Rhinolophus ferrumequinum: one gene and its partner. The protein of the gene in region 2 interacts with the protein of the main gene of each other region in a pairwise test. Links are inferred from orthologs where the notes say so. Each region holds a gene or a part of one and is shown on either strand. Other genes may lie near its edges.

Region 1 (3,745 bases), on a different chromosome or scaffold from region 2:
AGTACCACAACCCTGAGCCCAGTACGGACCTAGAAGCCCAGGCATTTGTCCCCAAATTCCTTCACATAGCTTCCTAGCCTCCTGAACCCACACCTTCTGTAGTTTGGACAGCCAAAGCCAGAAGAGTGGGTAGGTGAAGGGTTTGGGAGACATTGAAACACCAATTGGCACCTGCTTCCACGAGTTAGAGGAAAACAGAGGAAACTTGCTCTTCTCTCACTGTGAAACCCAGGTTGAGCGAGCAAATTCAACTCTCATCCCTCCCCACCCCGCCACCCCCCATTTTAGAGTTTTTCAAAACAGCACTCTCAGGTTACAAAGAACAGAATCCCCATTCCCAGCCCGGGCCTGGGGTATCCTTCTTTGGGCAGGTTACCTGTAGCGTTTGGAATCCACAGGCACCACGTCGATGGCCACACAGTACTGCTTCCCTGGGTCCAGACCTTTCACCTTGACCCGAACAGAGGGGAACATCCGCCTGTGGAAGAGAAAATAGCGACTGACCTGGGCGCTTTTAGAGACAGTTGGAGTGGGGCAAGGATGGGGACAAATGAGAAGTGAATAAATTCACAATACCCTTCTCATTCTAGGACAGGTTTAGGGAATGTCATTTGCTACATGAAAACAGACTGTTGGTTGTATACGTGATTGAGCAAGTTCAAGATTTCTGATTAGAGCAGAATATCCTTACCACAAGGCTTTGTCCACCCTACTCCCCACTACCATCATAATAAAAAAACTATGGAAGAGCAAGGAAGAGAGAAAAAGCTGTGCCCCTCCCCTCAAGTTTTCAGCACTACTTTCTGTGAGGCAGATTTAGGAAAGACTGCAATTAGGAAGATTCACACAAAAAATTACCCAGCTGCCCCAAAGAAGCTGCCCAACAACAAAAGGTCAAAGTGGGAATGGTCCACCTCAAACTAGCCTGGGCTAGGTGGGATGGATAGGCTGCTAGATGGGATATTATCCACTGATAACTGTGAGGATTTAATGGAGAGGCCTGACCATAACTTAAGATGTGGGGGTGGCATCTGGCACCTGCCTTAGCAGGTCTAATTTTTGTAGTACATCACACAGGTAAAAGCTGGGAGAATGAGTCATTGGAGTCACAATGTACAGGAAAGCCACTGACATGGGCCAGGTACTATCCTACTCTGATCCATTGAGAGGCAGTGGCTTTATAATGACTGTCGGGGGTGGAGACATGGGGGGATGGGTGCTAGAGCGTAAAACTGGAGGCACCACATCTTATGAGAGAGTTATATTAAGTATCTACTGTGTGTGGCCCTTGAACAGCTTGGGCAGAGCCGAACCTGCCGGCCTTGGTAATAATCATTTCAGTCCCTATGTCATGGAATCTCTTCCACAGCTCGAATCCTTGAAGCTCCACTTGGATAGCATCGTTCTCTCCCAGACTTTCACTGCTGTTGCCGCCGCCGCCACAGCCTGAGAATGCAGTTGCCGAGGGCTCTTTCTTGGGTCGCTTTTCTGCTGGATACAGAGACGCCAAGAGTTTGAGAGAGCTTGGCCGTTAGCACACTCCCTTCTCGCTGACGCCTGTCTCGGAGCAGACCCACCTTGTCTCTTCCCCGGGGACCTTGGCGGTGGAGCCCCAAGTTCCCGCAACACCCATTGTAGCCCCCTGATGGTGAGCAAGTAGTCCACGTCGCACCCTGTGAAAGGCACGGTCCTTCTTCAAATTTACCCATCCTCACCAGTATCTCTGAGACTTTAGGTCTCGGAGGCTGAATCCCCTCGGAATCTGGGTGCGTGCCCTGCTTCCTACCCTGAGAAACAGCCACCCTCTGGCTCTCAGGGCTTTGGGGAGGTTGGAGAGTCTCACTTCTCCACAAACATGTGGAGATCTTCTCCTTCACCGTAAATGAACCACAAATTTTTTGCTGAACTTGGAGGCTCTGAAACTTCCCTAACAGCCAGGTGGCCAAGGTGGCCCGCGGCGGCCCCGAAAGCGGCCATCGCCTGGGCCAGGATTTCCAATGGTAGTAGTACTAGCCGCCCTCCTGCAGCTTCGCAGACCACGCTGGAATTTGCAGATCCAGCAAGAGTGGGTAACAGGCTCAGGGCTTTGGGGTGCGGTTGGGGTACTTACCCGGCTTGCTTTTTCGCCCTGCGCCGCTCCCTCTCTCTTCCTCCTCTCCGCCCTCTTTCTCCAGCAGCTCAGGCTGAGCCTCCTCTCGTCGTTCCTGCAGTTTTCTTTTGCTGGGTCTCCCCACTAAGGCTTCCACCGAGAAGGCGTGTGCCCGAGAGCTCAGAGCCATCCTTGGAGGGGGAGAAGGGAATGTGCACTGCAAATTTTCAACCTGAGCTGGGTTAGGGAGGGAGGAGGAGGGAGGGCGCAGAGGACAGGCGAAGGAGGGAAAGCGGGGGTGGAGGGGGGACCCAAATCAGAAAAAACAATTTTTGGATTAATATATATTCAAAGAAAAAAGATGTGTGTGTATATAATTTTTATATATACGTATATATTTTTCTTTGAATAGGATGAAAGAGAAGGAAGATCAAACTGAAGCCAAAGTCCTTTGGAGTTTAGTCCTCCTTCCCTCTGCGGTCTCCTCCCTCCCAACAGACATGTGCGCACCATCAGTCCTCTACTCCCTGATTCCAGGGCCTGGCAGAACGCAGAGATTGGCAAGCGCGGGCCTCTTAGGGAGCGGACCTGCCACCAATGGCGGCTCAGGCGGCTCAGGTTAAGAGATACTGTTGCATCCAACTAAGTGACTACCAAGCCCGTCGCAGCCTCCACTGTTTGTTTTGGAAACTGCTGGAAACATTAAAAATAAAAATGAGTGACACTTCAGAGTCTGACAGGGAGTAGGGATGGAGTGGGGTTGAGGGTTAGCTGGAAAGGGGCTCGCGATAGTGGGGAGGAGAGATACACACAATTACTCTTTTACTTTAAATTGTGAAACTCAAAGACATGCGAAATTGCCCATGAGTTGCCCATGAGGGGTCACTTTTCCAGCAAAAGTGCAAATATTTTTTAACCAGATCCAGAAAAGTGTATCAGGGTCTTTTGTTTCCCAGTGAGCATACTGGAGAAACGATTTATTTTTTCATACTAAGTTTTCAAAACCTGGCATGTAGTTTTTACTTGCAGCACATCTAGTGTGTTCTAAGCACATCTCATGTTGCTAGTAGTTACCATATAGGATGGAGCAGCTCAGGGTGATTCTGGGGCCTCTAGACCACTTTGCTGTAAGCCAGTAGCAACTATCCGTTTTGCCCTAATGAAGCTAGAGGAATGCAAGCTTTCTGTGGGCCTGGGGTGGGGTTTGTTCTGTAGTCTGGGTCTCAAACTGGGTGGGCAGTGTACTGGTCTGTCCTCTATCCAGGTGGGGAGGCAAAGGGTGGGCAGGAGGCTCCCAGATGCCCGTTATCGATGATCAGAGCAATCCTGAGTCTTCAAGCTCTGCCTGTACTGGAGCCCAATATTCTCACACACAGCCTCTTCTTACTCACCTGATTTAATCAACAAACATAGCCTAAGGGCTTCAGGTGCCACCAGCAGAGCACCAAGGGGAACTTTACTCCCAAGGATGAGGGACCTCAAAATGATGGGCTCAAATAATTGATTCCAATGTTTCCTGGAATATCTCCCTGGGCTCGGTTTTGCTTTCCTTTAAAATGGATAAAGACACCTTCTTTGTTCAGGAAGAGACTTGCCTACCACTTCCAAGGAGCATGGCTATGCACGCAGATATAAGATGTCTGCCTGCATACCTGG
Region 2 (3,745 bases):
GCGTGGGGAGCGCGTCCACCGTTCAACTCTAGGCCCCGCCACCCGCAGGTACAGGTGGGAGGGGACTCCGTCGCCTGCAGGCGCAGGGTTTGGGAGTATGTCGCCCCGACATAGAGGCCCGCGGCCGAGAGCACAGGCCACGCCCGCATGCTATCACGGGGTCTCCCAGGAAGACGGCCTAGGGGCTGCTGCGGAGTAGTAAACCCGGAGTGCGGGTCCCAGAGCCAGGGGAAGGGCAAGGTCCCGGCAGCCCCAAAAGCTGATCCTAAGCCCATTGAGGAAGCTGAGGCCGGGCATGGGTGACAGCTGTCACTGTCTCGAACAGCCGGGTTAGAGGGAGGGACCCAGACTACAGAAGGGGACGGGAGACCCCACTGGACGGGAGCCAGTCAGGTGAGAGGACAGCGTGCCGGAGCCCGTGGCAGGGCTGAAGGGAATGAGGGAGGGACCACTGGGCAGGAAGGGGGCCAGCAGCCTGGAGCTGGAGGGGAGGACTCCGGAAGGAGGGGGGCTATCTGACCTGCAGAGGCGCCGTCACCTTTGGACTCAGGAGAGGTGTTCAGGTGTGTGGGGGGGGCCGGGAATCTGGGAAAGTGAAGGCGGAGGGCCGCTAGAGAGTCCGGGATTAGACAGGAAGTCGCGCAGCACAATTGGGTTGCTGCGGGAGGTGTGGGTATGTGGTCGAGAGGCCAAAGGCCCGGCCCTAAAGACTAGAAATGGAAAGATGCCAAGTGCAGAAGCGGTGCGCATGAACGCCGACATTTCCTAAATGACAGCTTTGGGCGCATAGCTGGGCAATCCCAGGAAATGTGGCTCTTTATCTAGAGGCCTGTTCTGAGCACGTGGAGCTGTCCTGGGGGATACTTCCTTCTGCCAGGTTTGTGAGGCACCCCCAACCTGTCTGTCCCCGGAGGAGCTCTGCGCAGGCCCCCACCGGACGGGCCTCTGTCCCCAGGTAGCAGAACGTCCATGTCGTGTTGGCGCCAGAAGCCTGCCACACCCGCGTCCGGGGCCCCGCGCAGTGAGGGGGGGCGCCCCGCTAATCGCAAGCTGCAGCTCTTACCACACACTCCGCGAGACACGTGGCGAGTGATTCAAATCCCTAGCTTCATCCCGCGGAGTCCAGTGACCGAATGCGGTCGGTGCAGAGGCCGGAGGAACACCCCAGTCAGAGTCAGAGGCGTTGCGGTCAGTCCCCGACCTTTCACCTAGACCACGGGCCAACACGGGCCGGTTCCCGCTGTGCCGGTGGTAGTCCGGCTCCCACATCCCTGGCCCGTCCCTTCCGAGAGGCTGGGGAGGCGGGGCTGGGGTGTTAATCCCAGGGCGAGGCCCGCGGGCCCTTTGATTCCACAGGCTGGGGGCGCGGGGGTGGTCGTCGGTGCTGGGCCCAGACTGGCGCTGGCGCCCCAGGAGCCCAAGCTGCTGACCCAACCGTCTGCACCAAAGCCTCGGCATAGGCTCAGGGGCTGGACCAGCGCCTGCACCTGACTCCGGCCCCGGGGACGCACGCGAACTCCTAGCTGGCATTCTAGGGGTGCTCAGATCCGGGCGGTGGGTTTTTGCCTCGACTGCACCCGGTATGCTTGTGCTGGTCTTGTCCAGGAGACAGATGTGGTCGGCCAAGGTTGGCATAGAGGTCCAGAGGAGGCTGGACCAGCCTGGTTAGAGGGGCAACCACCGCACGGTGTCCACCCGGCTGAGCCTGCTGCCTCCCCCAGAGTACCGGGCCCTGGACGGGACCTGGCCAGTTCAGGAGAGAAGCAGCCACAGGGACAGGGTGACCTCCAGGCACTCCCCTGAAGCTCAGGCTCCATAGTGCCCTGTCACAAAAGTGGCAACTGAGTTACAGTCTGTCCCAGAGGTGGTGAGTCTGTTGGCCTTCCTGCTGGATTCCTCCTGGGAACAGCGCAGGGAGGTGGCCCAGCCCTGAGCCAGCAGACCTCCTCCTCCCTCCTCCTTTGTGTCACCCAAATCTGGAGGCAACTTGTGGCACCGGGACGAAACCCAGAAGAGGGGCTGGGAGTGACGAGACAGAAGGGCCTGTGGGAGCCTGGAGCAGACCCTCCCTGCCATGCCTGGCTTGTAGCAGTCACCTACCAGGAATGTCTGCCTTACATTCCGGCCCAGCCAGGCAGCCTGGACACAGCAGACACTGGTCGAACCCACCCCATCCTGAGAGCAGGATGCCGACTCCCCCAAGTTGAAGCGACCTCTCTCTCAGTTGCACAGTTGTCACCTCAGCACTGCAGACCCACAGGGCAGGTGGGAGAACCAACTAGGGGAGAGAAGATGGTCTGGCACCCCACAGGACAAGGCCCCAGCTTGGGAGCAGAGGTGGGAGGGGGCCATCCTCACCTTCCTGCTGCCTAGGCCAGTCCTGGTGGGGGTGGGGAGAGATGAAAGGATGTAACAAGTCCCCAGCCACCACAGCTCCCTTAACCATTGACCGCAGCCCCGCCCCTCCCCCAGACATCTTGGAGCCGGGGGAGGTGTGAATGGCCTCCTTTGTGCCTCTGAATTGAAGGCAATTAGATGCTACTTATCTGGGGGGATTTGAGCCATCTACGCAAACCCACCTCCCACCCGCTTCTCTGGAGCTTATAAATGCAGCCCTGCCCTGCTAAACCTGAGGCGGATCCAGTGCTCAGCCCGCCCCGCCTGCCACCCAACCCACAGCAGACCCCACGCCTGGCCCCCACCATCCAGTCATGCATCCTTCCTCCACACTGCCCGGTAGCCGAAAGCAGACCTCGAGCTTTGGCTGTGTGGACTGGCTCTCCCAGAGTAGCCATGTGGGCCGCTTGCACACTTCCAGACCTGGTGACGTTTCCTGGGGGGACCTCTCTGTCCCAGCCAGGGTGTCCAGCAGTTGGGAGGCCCCTCAGACCGTGGGCGTGGAGGAGCTGAAGTCCTCAGAAGCGTCTGTGCCAGGGATGTCCACAGCTGGTAGGTCTGGGAGTGTGGGGGGGTCCCTTCCTTCCCAGATTGGGATGGAAGTTGGAGAGAAGGGAACATGCCCCTGCCACATCCCGTGTGCTTGGGCGGGACAAGGGACCCAAGGGCCGGGGTTGGGGTCCCGCCTTACCCTCTGGCAAGTGAGCTTCCCCTCGGAAGCACAAGCCACAATGGGTTTCCCTCCTCACTCTTGGGGCTCCTCCAGCCTCCTCCTAGAGGGGCTGGCCCCCTGCCCCCACCCAGGCCTGCCGCCTGGGTCCCCACGGGGACACTGACGTTAGCACCTTTGTTTGCTTGGTTTTTGCGTCCATAATAGTCCTGGACCCATTTCTACAAGTGTCACAAGGTCGCAGATAAGTATGCCTTAAAGCTTGTGACATCTGCCCAGGTCATGGGGGTGGTTGTGGTCCCCCCCACAAAGCTGGCACCTCAGTTTGGCATCTAGACTTTGGCCAGTCCACAGTCCGCCTGCAGTCCTGCAGGTTTGGTTCAGGGGCAGCCAGGACTCTGCCTGAAGCCACAGCCTCTGCGTTTCTGCATGTGTGAATTTGTGAATTTCTCCGGCTTCGGCCCGTTCATCTCTGGGAGTCTCTGTGGCTCCTAAGCCTTATCTGACCCTTTGTCGTTTGCTGATGGCACTTTCTCGGTTTGTTTTTTACTCTTTGTGACTTAATCATTGGTTTAGGTTTAAAGACAGGCATGGTTGAAGTGGGGGTTGATGTTATCTAAGTTTTCATTTTTAAAAAAGTTTAAATAATCTTTATGGAGTAATTTTGTACTTTGATGA

Evidence for each region. The genes of interacting proteins can lie anywhere in the genome.
Region 1: the proteins of VENTX (region 2) and TBX22 interact in binary tests that used the Homo sapiens proteins (3 or more experiments, as listed by UniProt). The two-hybrid records come from large-scale screens. The link is inferred for Rhinolophus ferrumequinum from reciprocal best matches to the Homo sapiens genes VENTX and TBX22.

What each region holds. Positions count from the first base shown.
Region 1 is NC_046284.1:73,947,355-73,951,099, forward strand, and holds the start of TBX22 (T-box transcription factor TBX22), read right to left. Parts: upstream 2,280-3,745; coding exon 2,111-2,279; intron 1,492-2,110; coding exon 1,314-1,491; intron 479-1,313; coding exon 377-478; intron 1-376. UniProt on the Homo sapiens protein: Probable transcriptional regulator involved in developmental processes. This is major determinant crucial to palatogenesis.
Region 2 is NC_046299.1:302,222-305,966, reverse strand, and holds the start of VENTX (homeobox protein VENTX), read left to right. Parts: upstream 1-1,183; 5' UTR 1,184-1,188; intron 1,189-2,224; 5' UTR 2,225-2,265; intron 2,266-2,856; 5' UTR 2,857-2,936; coding exon 2,937-2,949; intron 2,950-3,745. UniProt on the Homo sapiens protein: May be involved in ventralization.